Linked DNA regions of Rhinolophus ferrumequinum. The protein of the gene in region 1 purifies or fractionates together with the protein of each later gene. This does not show direct contact. Links are inferred from orthologs where the notes say so. Each region holds a gene or a part of one and is shown on either strand. Other genes may lie near its edges.

What was found. The genes of interacting proteins can lie anywhere in the genome.
Region 2: the proteins of PINK1 (region 1) and VIM purify together in Homo sapiens (affinity purification with mass spectrometry; 3 studies listed by BioGRID and IntAct, with this or other methods). This does not show direct contact. The link is inferred for Rhinolophus ferrumequinum from reciprocal best matches to the Homo sapiens genes PINK1 and VIM.

The regions. Positions count from the first base shown.
Region 1 is NC_046292.1:13,914,139-13,924,177, forward strand, and holds the start of PINK1 (serine/threonine-protein kinase PINK1, mitochondrial), read left to right. Parts: upstream 1-5,380; 5' UTR 5,381-5,424; coding exon 5,425-5,820; intron 5,821-10,039. UniProt on the Homo sapiens protein: Serine/threonine-protein kinase which acts as a sensor of mitochondrial damage and protects against mitochondrial dysfunction during cellular stress.
Region 2 is NW_022680355.1:3,289,727-3,299,950, forward strand, and holds the start of VIM (vimentin), read left to right. Parts: upstream 1-6,112; 5' UTR 6,113-6,249; coding exon 6,250-6,812; intron 6,813-7,478; coding exon 7,479-7,539; intron 7,540-9,897; coding exon 9,898-9,993; intron 9,994-10,080; coding exon 10,081-10,224. UniProt on the Homo sapiens protein: Vimentins are class-III intermediate filaments found in various non-epithelial cells, especially mesenchymal cells. Vimentin is attached to the nucleus, endoplasmic reticulum, and mitochondria, either laterally or terminally.

The DNA.
Region 1 (10,039 bases):
GGAGTGAGTCATGTGATTGGGAGTTTGTGTTCCCAGAAGGCTGTCAAAGAAGCACTGGAGATCCAGAAGGCCCTCTGCTGAGAGCTGGGAGGGTCGGGGGTGGGGCCTAAGCTTTAAAAATGACAATTTCTGTTCTTACAGATCTCACAGTTTAGAGGGGGCATCTAGCCCAGTCTAGGAAAGGTCAAGGAAGGCTTCCTGGAGGAGGTGGCCTCAAATGTGACCGGGGATTCTTTTAAGAGGCAAATCAAGACGGGATCAGCATGATGCTTGGGACAATGGCAAGTAATTCATGAAGGTAGGGAAAGGGCACAGCAAGAAAGATGCTAGGGCCAAATAGTGAAGGGCCTTCTGTGCCAAACTAAGGAGCTTAGATTTTATCCTTAGGGCAAAGGGCAGAGGCCAAGAGCCTGTGAAGGACTTTGTACAGTAGGTGACATAGTCATATTTTTACTTTGAATAATCACTGCAGGGCAGCAAATTTATTGGACTGCATGAACCACAGATTGTCTGAATTTCTTAGCTACACATCTCCGTAATCCACCAGCATCACATTTTGTCCAGGCAAAACAGAGATGCTTCTTCCCAGGGAAATCTCACTCTCTGCCCACTGTTGTCTGATTTTAACCTCCAAAAACTATAGCTCAGGAGTTTCAAGTAGCTGGATTTTGATCTGGCAGAAAGCAGGGTTTGCTCTGTCAACAGTTTCAGCAGAAACTCCTTCCACTTGTGTGGGCAATTTAGAGATAGCATTTCTGAAAAGGGCTGTGGATAAAGGACGTTGCTGCTCTGGGAAAAGATGTCTGTCTCCTGCCAGGAGGAGATGAAGGACACCGTTCAAAGAGGAAGGTCAAATTGCCCTCAACAGTTCTTTTTTTGTTTGTTTCTTTTTTAAGTCTTGTCTTTTTCCATTTTTATATTAGCATCAGCTTTTTATCCCACCGTGTCCTTTGGGGGAAGGTTAAACGATGCGTCTTAGGAATATTATGTACTTCACCAAACTACATGGTCCTGATGCCTAGAGGAAAAAGGGTACAATGATAACAGAGCAGGGTGTACAGCAGAGAAGAACAGCTCCCCTACCACTCCGTTCTCTAGTCCTTGTGACGGAGCTTATCAAAGCCTGTCTGGCACCTAGTGATATTTAATAATCTTCTAAGAACGGGAGGCTCTTCTGTAGAATAGTAAATCTGCAGTAGAAACAGATATCTCGTCAGAAAACCACATACCATATCCCCAACTTCCCCTTTTAGGGATACCTCTAAAGAGGTGGAAGATGCTATGCGAGAATCTCAGGACCATCCCCTGAGACCTGCCACCATGGAAAGACTTTTCCTTCTCTGAGAACAGAGGGGGACAAAAGGAATCAGGGTCGTGGTCCCAAAGAAAGGTAGCCTGGTGCCTCTCCATGATAAGGTTATATTATTGCCCTGAGAAAGAGGAACACAGAATCCCTGCAATTCTTACTGGAAGACTCTGTGTAGAAGACTCTTTGCTTCCAGCCAGATGGCTGCTGAAGAATCCAGCTTCATGCTGTGCTTGGTTCAGATCTGTCCAAACAACTTAGAGTTTTCTACAGAAGAAGTGAACCAGTCTAGTGCCATCTTGACCAAAGTCCAGCATTCTCTGTTGAACAAGAAACTACACAGCCTACAATGGTCTGGAGATTTGATTTCCACAGGTGGGTGGGTTAAGCATCACAGGTCTGGCAAGTGTATTTGCAGCTTAGAGGACTAAATCCAAAGGTTGATAACCAATGCACTCTTGAACTTAAAACAACTAATACAATGTCCCTTTAGGTAATATGTCTTACTATTACCAGACTCAGGCCCGGCACTGCTTGTCAACACCAAGAACCTGAATGACAACGGTTGATGAGAAGAAAAGCGTACTTTATTCTAGATGCCGGCAGCTAGCGAAGAAGGCAGACAAACGTCCAGAAAAAAAAACACCTTTTCGGAACTGAGAATAATCAAGAGGTTTTATAATCAAGCAGGCGGGTGGGGGAAAGAACAAAGAAAAGTGGGAGTTGGTCATGTAAATGTTTCAGGGCTGACAGTTGAGAAATTGCCTCCCAGGGCCTGGTCTGAGAAATCGCCTCCCATGGACTGGTCTGCTTCATAATATTATCTCGAAATCAGTAGCCGGGGCTGGAGTGTTTCGTGCATCATCAGCAAAAATTGCAAGGGAGTTGCAACCATGGATCCCGGTGTCCAGGCGGCAGAAAATTGAGAAATTGTTCTTTCCAGGTTAATGTTCTGCTGATTAATTAGATCAACAAGGTATGTATAGTCTTCAGAAAGGGAACAGAGCAGAGTTATTAAATCAGGCAGTGAGGGCAAAAACCAAAGAGAAAACAGCTGAATATCAGGAGGCTAAATAGCGAACTATGAGGAGATCCAAACTGCAAACTAGATAAATCTGTGTTATTGATTCCCAAGTTTCACCCTTACAGTACCAGCTATGTAGTTATCTCTAGCCTCATGGCAAAATGTTACATTCCTAGGAAAGAAAATTCTCGTAGTTAAAACTAAAGGTCTTAGAAGATCTCTTGTTCCCTCTCAGTAAACACTAAAGTGCTGTACTGATAATGACACATAGCAGATGAATAGACTTAAACTTTAAACGAGTCCTTTGCCCCAACTGAATTTCTTTCTAGACAGTGAAGTTTCTCTGATCCTCTCTTTCATATCTTTCTCTAAAGGACAATTTCAACAGAGCATTTTAAACTGTAATTTAAAATTCCCTGAGATCAACCAAAAAAAAATTAAAGACAATATCTGATTTCCACGTGCCTCTGTGTCAACATATGAAACGTCCAAATCTGTAGAGAATTTTTATGAGTTTATTTGGGCCAAACTGACAACAATTGCCAGGAAGCAAAATCTCAACGGATTGAGAAAATGCTCTGGAGAATGGCAGTTTTGCAGCTTTATTTTATACATTAGAATCAAAGGAGGAGACGTAAAGAGGGTTACATGAAATCCATTGGTGGTAGATTAAGGGGGCGGGAGAAAGCAAAGCAGGGAAGTCTCTGGGATTGGATAAAAAGTAAAACAGAGAGACATACTTCTTTTACATTGGTGGGTACAGGATAGTTCATAATGAACAGTTATAGCACATAGAGATGGTATTCGGGGAACAAGATAACAGTGAGGTGTTCTGTGGGTCTCTTGCTCTGGTCTGAGGGGTCTGGAAAAGGAGAGTACACTGACATTCCAAGGGCTCGTTATCTTAGGTGCAAAAAGACAATAGACAGGCTCACTTAAGGTAAAGATTGACCTTTTTGTCAAGGAAACTACAGGCATAGGACATGACTACCCATCATGCCTAGCTTTTATTAGGAATTTTTATATTCAGCCCATCCTGTGTAGTTACTTTCAGTCTTTGAGTTTGTAAGGCCTGCCATGCTGGCCTCCCCTGAGCTCGTCAGGTTTAGTGTGTGCCCTCTTTTTTGTCCATATCTGTAAATAAATTGGAAAGAAATTGATTTATTTATCTATTTATGTCTCTCCCAAATAAATGTCATTGGATATCACAAGGGCCCTGCAATTTCTCCCCATGAGAGCAATCAGAACACATACACATACACTGTTGAATCAGTTGTCCACCTGTCCCTAGCCAGGGATCCACCATATGACCAAGCAAGCCTGGGGGGCCAGAACTCTTCAGATGATCGAAGACTTCCTCCAGCAACAGCTACCATCTACATGTACTTCGATTTAGTATTTAAAGAGGAAGCAAGAGATGTGAAACTGAATATCAACAGGATAGTAACTAATATTATGGAATTAATGTTAATCTTTTAGAGGTGACACTGTTTATGATTTTTAAAAATAGTTCTTATCTTTTAGGTGCTCGTAGATACCGAAATGTTTATAAATGAAATAATACATCTGGGATTTGCTTTAAAGTAAGGGGGGGTAGTAGAAAGGTATTGTTAAAAAACAAAATTCAACCAAGTAAATCTGAAGATCTAATTGACTTTATTAAGTGATTCATGAATCAGGCAACATCCCCTCCAGTAACTAGAAGAGAGTGCTCCCAAGAGTTGTATAAAATGGAAAATTTTTACAGGAAGCGGAGTGGGGCAAGGAAGCTAATAATGGAAGAAAAGGATTATTTTGTGACAGGGACATCTTTTCTGTGGGAAAGTGAAGGGTTTTATTATGTAGATTGTCCCAATGGAGAGGGCTTACAAGTATGTTACCTTATTGGGGCTTGACCAGAAAATTCCATATTGGTTGATTATGTTTCTGGGAGAAGTCGAAACTGCAATTAGATCTGGTATTAAATATGGGTTTGGTATCATGGGCTTTTAGCATCAGTGATACCATGTGGGACCTGTTTTTTCTTTTCTTTAACAGTATAGATAAATAAACTAATGACCGTTTGTTGATAATTTGTTGAAGCAGGTGAATGTGTACATAGGGTTCACTATACTATTTTTGTGTTTGAAATTTTCCGTTTTTAAAAAAAGGCAAGAAACGGGCGGCTGGATGGCTCAGTTGGTTAGAGCGTGAGCTCTTAACAACAAGGTTGCCAGTTCAATTCCCGCATGGGATGGTGGGCTGCGCCCCCTGCAACTAAGATTAAAAACCGCGACTGGACTTGGAGCTGGGCTGTGTCCTCCACAACTAGATTAAAGGACAACTATTTGAAGCTGATGGGCCCTGGAGAAACACACTGTTCCCCAATATTCCCCAATAAAAATTTTTTTTAAAAAGGCAAGAAAAAAAGAAATCACTCATTATAAATCCTTTCATCAGCATTTCTAACAGTGGGTTTGGGTAACAGGGCTCTGCCACCAACAAGCTGTGACTGGGCAAATCCTTCCATGTCTCCGGAATTCAGCTCACTCATCTGAAAAATGTCGTTCATCTGAAAAATGTCGCCTTTGGGTGGGATTTCTCTTGGAGTACTAAGAAGTGAGCAGGGGCTGTGCGTTTGTAGAGAGGAGCTTAAAGGCATTGGGGAGAGTAAGGACTCAATAGTTATGGCAAATGAACTTGAATGTCACCTGATTGTCACTGCCCTTTCTATGAGTCAGTTTCCTTACCTATAAAAATGATATTCCTATCTTCTTGGTGGGAATATTAAATAAATTAACAGTTGTAAAGACTCTGGCACCACGGGTGATACTCAATAAACATTAGTTTTCCTTCTCAACTTCTCGACTGTTCACAATCTGGACCTGCCTGACACGCAACCCCTCCACCCTGGGTCCAAAGTGCAAAAGGGCAAGCAACTACCCGCAGCCAGGTGCGCGCACAGCGCCCCCGCGCGCCCAGCCAGGGAACCGCCAGATCGGCGACCCCGCCCATCGGCCTCCGCGCCTGCGCAGAGGCACCGCCCCAAAGTTTCTTGTTGTGACCGGCGTCCCCGACGCCTGCGGCTGCTGGTGCACTTGGTCGCGGCGCTACTATGGCGGTGCGACAGGCGCTGGGTCGGGGCCTGCAGCTGGGTCGGGCGCTGCTGCTGCGTTTCACGGCCAAGCCTGGCCCGGTCTACGGCTGGGGGCGGCCAGAGCGGCCGGGCCCCGCGGCGGCCTGGGGCCGCGGAGAGCGCCCGGGCCAGGCCGCGGGACCCGGCGCGGAGCCGCACAGGCTCGGGCTCGGGCTCCCCGACCGCTACCGCTTCTTCCGCCAGTCGGTGGCCGGGCTGGCGGCGCGGCTCCAGCGGCAGTTCGTGGTGCGGGCCCGGGGCGGCGCGGGCCCTTGCGGCCGGGCCGTCTTTCTGGCCTTCGGGCTGGGGCTGGGCCTCGTCGAGGAGAAGCAGGCGGAGGGCCGGCGGGCGGCCTCGGCCTGTCAGGAGATCCAGGTGAGCACTGGCCGCGGACAGCGAGGATGGAGCCCAGTGTCACGCTAGGAGCGGGACTTTAAGTCGATGGGGGACGGGGCTGGGGATGTGAGCCGGGGCTTGAGCGTTGTGAGGGGCGGTGCTAGGGTGTGGGCGTGGCGAGGGGCGGGGCTGGGGGCATTGACTGACGGGGGCCCTGGATCAATATTTATCCTTGTCAGACCCGGAAATTCCTTGCAAATCACCGATTAAGGCTCATTTTCGGTGTTAACTGATCTCCTGGTATGGGGCCAGCACCTCCCATTTGTTTTACTGTCTTCCCTTCCTCAAACAGCACGTTTTGGAAGATAATGCTGCTAATTACAGCTCCTGTTGCACCATTGCTAATGACTCTGCGTAAATTTTGTAAAATTTAATGACAAGTCACAACGCTTCTATCCCTGAGGTAGTGGTCATCCCCAATTTATGGATGAGGAAACGTACTCAGAGAGGTGAAGTAACTTGCCCGAAGTCACACAGCTAATAAAGAGCAGTGCCCAAAGTCTGACTCTCCAAGGCCTGTACCCTTAACCACTGAGCCAGTCTGCCTCCACAGTTTAGCCAAACAATTAGTGACACAGCTGAAATCAAAGTAAAACCATGAACAGCAGGAGAAAATAGCACACCTAACAGTTTTTAGTCAACCTGTGAGCGTTATTAGGAGAGAGTGAATATGTTATTAGGCTCTTTTAAATGCTTAAAATAGCCCAGAGACCTCTCTCTGTTTCTCCTCTACCAAAATCTGTATTAGTCAGCGTTCTCTAGAGATACAGAACCAATAGGATGTGTTTATAGAAAAAGAGGTTTATTTTAAGGAGTTGGCTCTGCAATTCTGGAGGCTGGCAAGTCTCCCAAAAATCGTTTGGGTAGGTAGGCAGGATGGAGACCCAGGGAAGAGCCATTGTTGTAGTTCAAGTGTGAAAGCCACATGCTGGCAGAATTCTCTCCTCTTTTTGGGAGTTCAGCCTTCTTCCTGGGGTTTGGAGCCACTGTTAGTACAACCCCTACAATTGACAATTTAGGGCTGAGGTGGTGGAAGATGGAGTCACTTGCCCAAGGACACCTCTGGTTAAGGACCAAGCATGTTTCCTGGTTTCCAGCCCAGTTCTTGTTACTCAGCCAGAATGTCTCATGTTTGAGCTCAGGCTAGTTTGGGACGACAGGTGACATCTGACCTAGTCCCCAGCCACTGTCCTTGTCTTTTGCTACAGCTTAACTGGCAGAAGCCAAAGGTGGGAAATTTGATAATCCTGCTTAGAATTATGGAGGCTTTTTTTTTTTTTTAACTGAGGAGCTTGGTCCTTCTGAGCTTATTATCTGTACATCCTTTTCTTACATTTTACCCTACTGTGTCTTAAAATGTTTAATTAGTTGATGATTAATATTAAAAATTCAGGTGTTCCACTTTTGAAAATAATCACCAGCGCTGGCAACTCTAATGCTAAAATTCCATATGGTGTCAGACCAGACAAAGTAAAAGAAAGGCTACTCCTTTTAGATGGAGGCATGTGGGGAAAAAAAAAACAACAATCCAGTTATAAAATAGGCAAAAGACATGAGTGTGTATTTCACCAAGAGGAGATACAGATGCCAAATAAGTATATGAAAAGATATTCAGCATCAGGGAATGCCATTAGGGAAATGCAGATTGAAAACACAATGTGATATCACTGCATACTTATTAGGACAGCTAAAATTTAAAAAAAAAAATAGTGATAATACCAAATGCTGGTGAAGATGCAGAGAAACTGGACTGCTGGTGAGAATATAAAATGGTACAACAACTCTGGAAAATAATGAGCAGATTTTTACAAAATTAAACATGCAGTACCATATGACCCAGCCATTGCAGTCTTGGGCGTTTACCCAGAGAAATAAAAACTTGTATTCACACAAAAACCTGTACACAACTTGCTGCTATCTAAAACAGTGTGGTAGTTCCCCCAGAAATTAAAAATGAAATTATCATATGATCCAGCAATTTCACTTCTGGGCGTACACCCCAAAGAATTGAGAGCAGGGATTTGAACAGGTATTTGTACACCTGTGTTCATAGCAGCATTATTCAGAATAGTCAGAAGGTGGAAGCAACCCACGTGTGCATCAATGGATGGATAAATAAGCAAATGTGGAATATACATACAATGTAATATTCACCTTAAAAAGGAAGGAAATTCCGACATATGCTACAACATGGATGAACCTTGGGGACAATATGCTAAGTGAAATAAGCCAGACACAAAAAGACACAGTCTCAGGCTTCCGCTCATCTGCGGTACTTAGAGTTGTCAAATGCATAGAGACATAAAGTAAAATGGGGGCCGCCAGGAGCTGGAAGGAGAAGGGCTGGGGAGTTACGGGTTAATGGGTATTGAATTTGAGATTTGCAAGATGAAAAATGTTCTGGAGCTGGATGGTGGTGATGGTTGTACAACAATGTGAATGTACTTAATGCCACTGAACTGTGCACTTAAAAATGGTTTTAATGGTCAGTTTTATGTTATGTATATTTTACCACAGTTCTTAAAAAATGGTTTAAAACCCTGTACAGAAATCATAGCATCATTCATAACAGCAAAATAGTATACACAACTGAACCGTCCTTCTGCAGGTGGATTGTTAAACTCTCGTATCCATACAGTGGGATACCAAGCGATAATAAGGAATTAACTGCTGATGGTGGTAACCAGCTACGCGAACCTCAAGGGCATTGTGCTGAGTGAAAAAAGTCCGTCCCGGAAGGTTATACTGGGTGATTCCATTTATATAACTTTCTTTAAATGACAAAACTATCGATATGGAAAACAGATCAGTGAATGACAGGGGGTAGGGCCGGGGTAGGGGGTGGCACAAATACAAAGAGGTAACACAAAGGAGTTTTTTGAGCCTATGCATGGGATAAAATTGCATAGAGCTACACACATGCGCACACACACACACACAAATGAATGTGGGTTAAAAAAGATGGTGAAAACTGAGTAAGGTCTGTAGTGAACAGTGGTATACCAGTTGCTTTCCTGATTTTGACACTGTACTGATGCTTTATAAAATGTCACCATTGGGGGAAACTGGGTGAAGGGTACACAGGGCACTCTGTACTATCTTTTTGCAACTTCCGTGAGTCTAAATTATTTCAAAATAAAAAGTTAAAAAGCTATATCACATTCTCAAAACCATGGTTGATAAAGGATTACTCTACAAAATGCTGCTTCTGCTCTGTGGAGTTTAGAGACTAGTAGACAACACAAGGTAGACTTCCATTTTTCTAAGAAGTAAAAGTTACCGTGCAAGGTGTATTAGCTTATAGATAGTGCTTTAGGACTCCTCCAGAAGGAAAGGTGGCTGTGGGCTGGGTTGTCAGAGCTGGTTATACAGGAAGGAGGAGCTTGAGTTGGGACTCCATGGGTGATGGGGCATGAGCCAGGCAGAGCAAAACAATAGAAATAGGGGCTGAGGGGAATAGTATGAGCTAAGAGGCAGAGAGGCATATGAAAGGTAAGTAGGGGCGGTGCACAGGCCAGCCTGGCAAAACAGTTTTCACGTACAGGAAGTACCAGGACAAGGCACCGAATAACCTATTGGTTAGGTTTCTGAACAGAAGGGTGACTCGTGAAAGCAGTGTAGTTTGATCTGGCTCAGAAACAGGTGAGGGGATGACGCAAGAATGGGAAAGTCTAGAGATGAGTAAACATGGAAAGGAAGGGATCAGCAGATCAGACAGGATTTGAGGCAGAGCCTGCGCGACTAGACAAATGATGTCAGCTGCCTGAAGTCGGGAAGGATTTGATTTTGGGGAAATGGGCTCTTTCCAGTGCATCCCAGCAGTACCTGCATTTCCACCTACTGACATCAGAATTCTTATACTCTTGTTTCCTTTCTGAAAATAGAGTGGACTCACCAGATTCCTAAGAGGTAGAGACAGGAAGACAGGATTTAGTGACTCAGCTCCAGGGGTCCTCCTGATTTTGCTCCCTTGTCTACAAAAGCAACCTGAGGTCATTCACAAGTGGAGGAGTGGCTGTTAACCACCTCGTACTCCTGCCCACCCACAGCTCCTGGTCACCATCCGGTAGCTTCCTGCTAAGATCTTTGCAGAGAGAGCTGTCTCCATAATCAGAAACCTCCAACCTGGTGCTGGGGGCTTGACGGGCAGCAAAGGAATGGTGTGCCAGCTGCAGAATTTGGAAGTTCTGACCACTTC
Region 2 (10,224 bases), on another chromosome or scaffold:
CTGATCTGGCCCCCAATGACTTCTTTCTTTACCTGAAGATAAAGGAAATATTGAAAGGAAGACATTTTGATGACATTCAGGACAGCAAGGGTAATACGACGACAGAAAAAGAGTTCCAAAATTGCTTTGAAGGGTGGACTAGGTGCTAGCGTCGGTGCACAGCTTCCCAAGGGGAGTACTTGGAAGGTGCAGGTGCCTGTAGTGATATTCAGCAATGAGGTATGGAGCACTTTTTCTAGGATGAGTTCATGAACCTAATTTCCAGACCTCATATACTAAGAAGCATTGCAGGCAGTACACAAAATGAGTAACACCGAGCTGTTGAATGGAATATGAGAAAAGACCTGACCTGGGGAAATGTGGTGTATTCATGGGACACAGAGAAGCTTAGAGCCCCACTGTAAGCAGACAGCCCACTGCAATGTCTGTCTGGTGGGAAACAGGGGCGATGAGGATGGATGTGCATACTTAGCATGGCTTTCAAAGGCCACAGTTGAGCTATGCACCTAAGCTCCTCTGCAGCAAAATGTCTGGTTCATTCATCATCCTTATTACAAATTGTAATTACTTTGCTCGTTCCTTTACTTGACCATTGTCTCCCTGTATCACACATACGCACATGGGGACTCAACTCTTCATTCCCAGAATACATGCGTTAAACCTGCCTTGTTGACTTTCCCCACTGTCTACCAGCATGCTTGGTCCACGGTAAATATTCAATAAACATATTTTGAGTAAGCAAATGAAATGTGTGTATCATCGTAATATTAATAGCTTGTAAAGATCAAATGCAGTCACATGTAAAATGACTAGCACAATGCATGACTACAACAGGCACTAGTCAATATTCCCTCCCTCCTCCCTTCTTCTCTTCCTCCCACCTCCCTCTCTCCCTTCCTCTATGAACTACTCATGGATTAATTCATACATTCAACAAATGTGCCAGGCTTCTCTCCAGACTTCGAGATAGCATAGTGAACAACAGAGAAAAAAAAATCCCTGCCTTCATGGAGCTTACATTCTGAAAGAATGACTGGTTCTTTCTGGATTTTCAGGGAGTCTTATGAAGGCAGTTATTAACAAAAAGGGGTGTGGCTTGAAGGCAGACACATCGGTGGGGGTAAGAAGAGCCTGGAGGAGGGAAGCCAATAACAGTACCACAGGGATGAAGTATAACACGGCTGGGATGAGTGACAGTTACACAACAGAGGAGTGGATATAGGAAGCAATGGGACAAGGCACCCACTGGAGTTGTATGATCCACGAGTGAGGAAGTTGCAATGATGCAAGTTTCCAATCTCGTTAGTTTGCTGTGTTGCCCTGACTAGACAGGGGAAGTTAGGAGGGGAAGCTACTGTGGTTGGTGGGTTTTGGGGTGTGGGATCAGCTACACCCAATTTTGGATACGATGCCTCTGAAGAGAGGGAAAGGAATGTAGGTGAAAGTGCTTAGTACTCAGAGTAAGCATTTAGACTACAGGTGAAAGCCAAACTCCCTTCTTATCTATTATATGAGGCCTGACAATTAAGTTCCCGAACTTGTTCCAACAATGTTGTTAACCTTCTGTTGATCAGAAGGATTACTCATTATGAATTTGTACCAACTGGATAAACAGTTAACCAAGTTTACTTTCTGGAAGTGCTGAAAAAACTGCATGAACAAGTTAGACGACCTGAACTTTTCGCCAACAATTCATGGCTTTTACATCACAACAATGTACCAACTCACAGGTCACTGTCTGTGAGGGAGTTTTTGGCCAGTAAACAAATAACTGGATTGGAACACCCTCCCTACTCACCTGATCTGGCGCCCAGTGACTTCTTTCTTTACACGAAGATAAAGGAAATATTGAAAGGAAGACATTTTGATGACATTCGGGACATCAAGGGTAATACGACGATAGCTCTGCTGGCCATTCCAGAGAAACAGTTCCACAATTGCTTTGAAGGATGAACTAGGCGCGGGCGTTGGTGCATAGCTTCCTAGGGAGAGTACTTGGAAGGTGACCGGAATGATATTCAGCAATGAGGTATGAAGCACTTTTTCTAGGATGAGTTCATGAACTTAATTGTCTGACCTTGTAAATCAGTGACATCTGAATAACATAAAACATTTCTTAATATCTGCCAGACTCCTCTGGGAATCTGCTCCTGCACAACATAATTGATAATTATCCTGTCTTTTCTCTTTTCAGTTCCTAGAACACAGTCGGGCCCTAAATAATATTTGTGAATTGAACTGGTTGACAGTAAGCAAAATCATCATGGCAAAGAGAAAAGAAAAAATGCATTTGGACTCAGTCCAAATTCTTGCTCCCTTCCTCTCTCCTACTAGTTAAAGACCGTGAGCAAATTGTTAGCCTGCATTTTAGACACTTCATGTATGCAATGGATGATCAACTCTATCTCACAGGATGTTGTGAGAGCATTAAATTAAGTCCATGCAAAGTTCAGGTCATCCAGTGGGCACAGAAAACAGGCATTTATCATAGTATTGTTATCTTTGCTTCCATACCTTTTAGGTTTGCCATGCTTTTCACCATCTCACTTAATCCACTTGCTCATTTCTAACATTCCATCCAGGCGATCCTGCTAGAAGCTGTCCTCTTGGCACGGCTACCTGCCAGCCAGCTCTCCTAAAGCTCCCACAGGCCACTGAGCTCCTCTCCTCATGGCTGGCTGGTCCGTCAGTTCTCATCACCCAATGCAACTGAAATTACTACAGCTGGCAAATTCCAAAATCACTGTCAGTACTTTAGATTTGGTGATGTTTACACCTGGCCTACAAATTGCACCTTTGTGTCCTTATTTATACACAACCTGCATCATGCAGTGTTTGAAGCAGCTTCACAGTCCAGCATTTAAAGCTACTCTGAGATAGGTATTTCACAGCAATCATAAGTAAATATGAAAACTGAAAAAGCTATGTCTATATCCTGCTTGCTTCCAAAAAGTAAGCAGGATGAGTTAATCATATTCAAGGATGTTACTTCAAACATACTGATTTCCCTCAGCGATGACTGTCATCCACTGGTCGGGGCATTGCGCTAGATAGACATTGTATAATTTACTTCCCAATGCATTTACTTCTTTCCAAAGTCTCATGCATTCTATATAAATGAGTAAAAGTGTTTTTGTAACCTTCACTTTTCTACACTCTATAGTCCACCCCAAGCTATGGCAATTTCTAATAGGAAGCACACACCAGAGACTGTGTGTGTGTGTGTGTGTGTGTGTACACGCACACACTCGCTGTATGGCCAGTGCAATGGGCTGAATGTTTGTACTCTACCCCGAAATTCCTATGTTAGAACCCTAATCTCCAAAGTGATGGTATTTGGAGGTGGGGCCTTTGAGAGGTGATGAGGTTTTAGATGTGCAGTTTAGAGTAAAGCCCCATGACGGGATTAGTGCCCTTATAAGAAAAGGGAGAGGCCAGTGTTTGCTTCCCCTGCACTTCATGTGAGGACACAGCAAGAAGGCAGCTGTCTGCAAACCAGGAAGCAGGTCCTCATCAGACACCAAATCTGTGGGCACCTTGATCTTGGACTTCCTGCCTCCAGAAGTGTGAGAAAGAAATGTGTATTCTGTGTGCCACGCCATCTGTGGTATTTTGTCATAGCAGCCTGAGCTGTGACAGCAAGTGAATACATCACAGTCCTGAAAAATCAGATTGGAGAAGGGATACCCCTGAGATGGTGAGGAGGTCCAGAGTCCATCCCAGAGGAAGTCACCACAGCCCTGAGGAATCTGCTGTGGTCACCAGCAGGGCACTGGCCACGCTGCACCAGAGCCTTGCCCTCATTTTCCATGGTGAGTCAGTCAGCAAGCGTCCCCTGATAGCAAGCGTCACCACTGCATTGCCCTGGGATCAGCATTTTAGGTGGGAGGAAGGTCCACCCTCTTTCCCCCCATATTGAGAGGACTTTTTCTCATTCTAAGGGTTCCAGGCAAACTCACAATGGTGACATTTCCTGACCAGTGGCTTAAATAAAGGGCTCTCAGAGAGCAAGATGATAACGTGGAGCATAAGCTGGTTTGCGAGGGCACTGAGCCCCAGGAATGCTCCTTGGGAGGGATACACAGCCTCCCAGTGTCAGAGAGAATAAAGGAAACCCACAGCAGGGGAGCTGTGTAGCAAAGGGTCCTGCAGCTCAACTCTGGCAGTGCACTAGGGCAGAAGTAACTGAAATGAGGTAAACAAAATATTGCCTGAAAGACGCTTGTACAAAGAAGCTAGAATAAAACCTTCAGTTGGTTCTACACTATTTTTCTTAAATGCTAGGTAACCTGCAGTACCCCTCTGCAAAAAAGAAAAAAAAATACAAGAGCCAGAAGGAGGGTTTTACTTATTCCCCCCCCCCCACCTCACCTATTCACTATAGAATCAAGATGCTTCTGTTTTTACAGAGGTTTTGGAATTAATCCTTTCAGTACTCCCTAAATTTTCTATGCACTCAAAAACAAACAAACAAACAAAAAACCCTGATTTTTTACATTGCTACTTAATTCAAAAAGACTGGCTCGCCTTCACTCTCTTCATCTCCCTTTAGAGGTAACTTTGTTCTGCATGTTTCTAATATTGCAACAATAGCCCTTGAGTGATTTACCTAGAAAGGTTTTGGTCATGGACTCTGAACACTCCCTTGGTGCTCTGGACTAAACGCTTTTTGTTCTGTAGACAGTTTTCTCTGCCCAAATTCTTCTGGAAAACAGGCCGAAAGAACCTGTGGCATTTCCCAGACACGTCACCAGAATCCTGCAGTGTGCACAGCTAAATGAACACATAAATCGATCCTCCCCCCAAACATTATGACCTTTGAGTCACATAATTGCTTTTCATTAATCAAATTGGAGTTTTAAAGCAACACTTAATTAATTCTATAATTGGCGCAGATTATACCTTTAATGACTTCCACTGTAGCACAAAAACCAGTGATCACTGAATTTGATTTTGAAACTACGGACGCTGAGTTTCCTCTTTCACCCAGAAGTTTCAGATCTTGTTCAAAGTTGGGTGTGGTTTCGTGGGGGGGGAGTGGGGGAGGCCGAGAGGAGACCCGAGGGGAGAGTGGGAAGAAACTTGGCAAGAAAAAACCCGTGTTTGGGCGGCTATCCAGGGTCTGCATATGTTTCTTGCTAAGAAGTCCGCACATTGGAGCAAAATCAGGCTTTGGCGAGTTCTTAAGAACTCCGAGGCGCTGTAGTCTCCCCTACCAGAGAACTACACACAAGAATGCGGCGGCCCGCCTCGAAGTTGGGTAAAACTTGGAAAACCAGTGCGCGCGGGGCCCGGGGAGACCTGAGTCAATCCCGTCTAACGGTTCCCGCAAACCGCTAGGAGCCCTCAACCTAGGCAGGCAGAGAGCACAGTGACTCACTGCCAGTGACTCAACGACCCCACCCCACTCCCTGGGGTCGCCGCCTCGAAGCTCACGCGGTCCAAAGCCGGACCAAGCCCGTCACGTCCCTGAACAGGAACCCTAAGGCGAAAGGGTAAAAAGAGATGCGGGCCAGAGCGATCCCTTTCCAAGCCCAACACGCGAGGCGGCACCGGGGCCCGAGCCCTGCGTCCTGGGCTGTGCGCCCCCCACCTCGCGCTCCAATCTCAGGCGCTCTTTGTTTCTGTTACCACGCCTTCCAATCTGCTGGATCCCTTACTCCCCCTCTTCCTACTCCTTTGCCGGTGCGTCTCCGCACCCACCCGCTCCCCGACCGCTCTTGTAGCCACCCGCCCCTCCCAATTGCGCGCCTCCTCCCACGCCTCTTTGGCGAGGTGCCCGGGACCCCTTTGATCCAGTCTTGGGTGCGTTCCCCCACCAACGTGCGACCCCGCCTTTTTCAGCACCCAGGGGTGAGCAGAGCTCAGGCCATCATCAGGAAAGCCCCCAAAAGTCCCTGCCCAGCCAAGAAGTAACGGGACCATGCTCAGTCGCGAGAGCCGAGGAGCAGGGAGGAGGAAGACTCCAAAGTGCCCACGCCCCAACCCCCTCCCACCCTTCCCGCTACTCGCCGGGTCCCCATTGGCTGGCGAACTCCGGATGGAGGTGGGAGGGGACCCTTTACCATCAACGTTATAAAAACTGCGCCCTCGGCGGGGTCCCGTCCTCTGCCACTCTCGCTCCAGGGTCTCCGCGCCAGAGACGCAGCAGCGTTCCCACCGCCCACACCCACCGCGCCCTTGCTCGCCTCTGCCCGGAGCCAGTCCGCGCCGCCACAGCCACCCAGCCCATTGCCACCCTCCGCAGCCATGTCCACCAGGTCCATGTCCTCGTCCTCCTACCGCAGGATGTTCGGCGGCCCCGGCACCGCCAGCCGGCCGAGCTCCAGCCGGAGCTACGTGACCTCGTCCACCCGCAGCTACAGTCTGGGCAGCGCTCTGCGCCCCAGCACCAGCCGCAGCGTCTACGCCTCGGCCCCCGGCGGTATGTACGCTACGCGCTCCTCGGCGGTCCGCCTGCGGAGCGGTGTCCCGGGCTTGCGGCTGCTGCAGGACTCGGTGGACTTCTCGCTGGCCGACGCCATCAACACCGAGTTCAAGAACACCCGCACGAACGAGAAGGTGGAGTTGCAGGAGCTGAATGACCGCTTCGCCAACTACATCGACAAGGTGCGCTTCCTGGAGCAACAGAACAAGATCCTGCTGGCCGAGCTCGAGCAGCTCAAGGGCCAGGGCAAGTCGCGACTGGGGGACCTCTACGAGGAGGAGATGCGGGAGCTGCGCCGGCAGGTGGACCAGCTCACCAACGACAAGGCCCGCGTCGAGGTGGAGCGCGACAACCTGGCCGAGGACGTTATGCGGCTCCGGGAGAAGTAAGGCGACGCCCACGCGGGGCCGCGGGAGGGAGGGAGAGGGGTTCGCGCCCCCCCCCAAGAGGAGCTGCCACGCCCTTGGGGATGTAACCGGGGCGGCGGCAGCGGGGGGTGGGGGGGGGAGGGGGGATAGCAGCGAAGCGGGGATGTGGCTGCGATGGCTCAGCCCGGCCCGGAACCCAGACTTTGCAGTTCCCCTCTACACCCACTCATTGCTTAAGAACGCCCGTTTCAGGTTGCATTTTTTTTTGAAAGTGCCAGTTGTTAGTTGAAGGCCCTTGCAAACGATGAGCGCAGTTCGTTCAAACTCTTAGAAAGTTTCCTGGCCCCTTCTGGCGGACTGCCAGCCCTGAGGCGGGGGTGGGGGGGGGTAGAAACTGTGCCGGAAGCTAGACAAAGGGGTTGCAGAGGCTTCTCGGGGACGGGGTGACGGCGTTCGCCTTGCAGGTAGGTCCCTGCGACCACCGTGATTGCTTTTCTACTCTGCGACCCAAGTCCCGCTAAAACTTGTCGAGGGTGACAGTTCCGAAAGCTGCAGTCGCTGGGTGCCCGCGGAGGTGGCGCAGCAACTATTGTCTCGCTGCACAGCGACTTGGTGGTTGGGTGTGGCCGCCCCGCCCCTGGCGGTTTCCCAGTTCCCCTCTGGTTAATGTGCAACTGTTTCAGATTGCAGGAGGAGATGCTTCAGAGAGAGGATGCCGAGGGAACCCTGCAGTCTTTCAGACAGGTTTGTAGATCCTCTTCCCATTCGCAGCCACTGGACCCCACCCAACCAACCCAAGCCACGCGCAATTCTAAAAGTTACCCCAAGTCTAAGAGTGCAAAACTTCACGTCTGTGCGCAAAGCCCCCTAGTGGCAAAAAGACCCCAGATTGGAGCTTCCTCGATAAAATCCCTAGGATGATTGTTCTTAAGGACAGAGTCTTTAACTTTTTACTTTGTTTCCAGATTTTTTCCAAAGAAATATTTTTTCCGTTTATTTCTTGCAACACATTGATAATCTGATTTACAACAGTTACAGTTTGAGTGAGATTGCTGTTTGTGAAGTCAAGTTGGCTAACTTTTTACAAAGCCACAAAAAGCGCAATTCTGCCCTGTAGTTAAAAATGTAAAACGTGTTGGAGGATAAGAAAGTTAGCTTAACTGGAACGAAGCCAGCAAGGTTTTCTCCTTTGCAAATTCTATTGTGGCATTAAAATTAGATGGAAGTATCGCTATGCACAACTATTTTGTGGTCTAATAAGTGTGAAAAGGAGCCATCTGTCCTCTGGCTGAAAGGTATTAATGGTTTCTCTGGGCTTCACTATGGAATGTAGATACAGACTCTGGCTAGTGTGATGGCTCTGGACAGAAATAATAGGAGTCTTTGTGTTCCCAGAGAAGCTTTGCAACAGGCTACATTCTTATTGAATATGTAATGATGTAAGCACAATTCTAATTGGACACAAGTATTTGCTAACATCCGTTATCTAATATCTGGCCCAGACTTGTGAAGTATGTGATGTGAAAAGTTCTTAAAGCTACAATCATGCCTCACATTTGGAAAGGTCTTAATACTTTTTAACTTCTCTCCATAAATAAAGAATAACCCCAAGGCTGAAAAATGGAATTTTAATTAAAGGGGTTTTTTGTGTTGTTTTTTTGTTTGTTTTTGCTCCAAAGTTAGATGGATTTAAAGGATTTTTTTAAACTTAAAGTTGGAATTCAAAAGCAGGAAGAGTTCCCAGCATAGCTGAATAACAATTTGAAGCAGAAATACATTTGCCAAAATAATTTAAACACAGCAATGTGTGGTCATTTTAGTCATTGGGCATTTATGATCATCATATTTGTAATGTTTTTCAGGGTAGTGAGTTAACATAAAACAGTATTAGTATAAAAGATCTGTTTAGGGATTAAGTAACATTCCTCATATTCTCTTCAATGAAGTAGAATGTCACATTATACTTTTTAAAATAGAGGCTAGCAAGTTATTTCTTACATCTTTTTTTTAGGGCTTACTAACAAGCAAAAATGAATTTTTCCAAAGCCTCATTATTTTTAAATCATCACCCATTCCTCAGTTACATTCCCATAAAGGTAGAAGAAGTATCAACATTTTAAGACGATAAGGCTATAAAACTATACTCCAAAGATAACCGCTTACAAGATCAGAGGTATAAAAATCCTTATGATATTCCCTTGAGGGGAAATAAAATCTGAGTTGTAACACAGTGGGAACTCAGAAGGAGAGCCAAAGTAGCAAGAATTCTACATATACAGTAGTTTCATTATATGCAAAAGTTTTGATCAGTCATTCTGAAACTAAGTAACTGAATTGACACAGTGCTAAGTGAAAAGGATGGACACACCCTGTAGAATGAGGCAGGGGTTTCAGAAAGGAAAAAAATTCACCAGCGAAAGCAAAGAAAATACAGTTCAGAGTTACATTTCTTTTCATGATTTGCTTGATCTGCATCTTTGCCAGTGTCCATCCTGAATTGGAGTATTAATCTAGCTTTGTAACTTGAATGCCAGATGACTCCATATTTGCTTTGGATCGTAAGGATCCAATTCAGGAGATTTGAGCAGAGGGGGTTGGAAATAGAGCTTTGGTACACACATTTGAAGTGCAAATTTCTGTTCTACATGTACTCATGCATTTATGAAGTTGTGACATCTGGTCAACTCCTAGCATTGCATTATTCCATGACATTTCAAAAAAAATTTTTTTAATGCTGTGGCATTGATTTTCCAAATTAAAAAAAAAAAAAAAAAAAAAAAAAAACTTCACTGGTATAATGTGGATTCAGTAGTAATTTACCGAGTACAGTTTACCATGGTGGGATACATTTATTTATTTTTAAATTGTCTGTTAGTCACCTTGAGTACACCACAGTGGGTCACAATTCAAATTTTTTAATGAAGAGAAGAAAACATAGTATATTAAGCACTGGGTAATTTACAAACTTACTCGAAAGTCATAAAATTTGTCAACACCCTTTTTATACTAAATACAATGAGCTCAGATGGTTAATTTGAAATGACTAAATAAGCCATAGACTTTAGCATCTTCAATGTCTTGTCTTTTCTCTTTTCAAAATAGGATGTTGACAATGCTTCTTTGGCACGTCTTGACCTTGAGCGTAAAGTGGAATCCTTGCAAGAAGAAATTGTCTTTTTGAAGAAACTGCATGAGGAGGTAAGCGGAGTCCCTTTTCATGAATGAACATGGGTGAAGCTACTCCCATACTTGGGATGGCTGACCTTCTGTCTGTTCTTTCTTGAGGAAATCGGGGAGCTGCAGGCTCAGATTCAGGAACAGCATGTCCAAATTGATGTGGATGTTTCCAAGCCTGACCTCACGGCTGCCCTGCGCGACGTACGTCAGCAATACGAAAGCGTGGCTGCCAAGAATCTTCAGGAGGCTGAA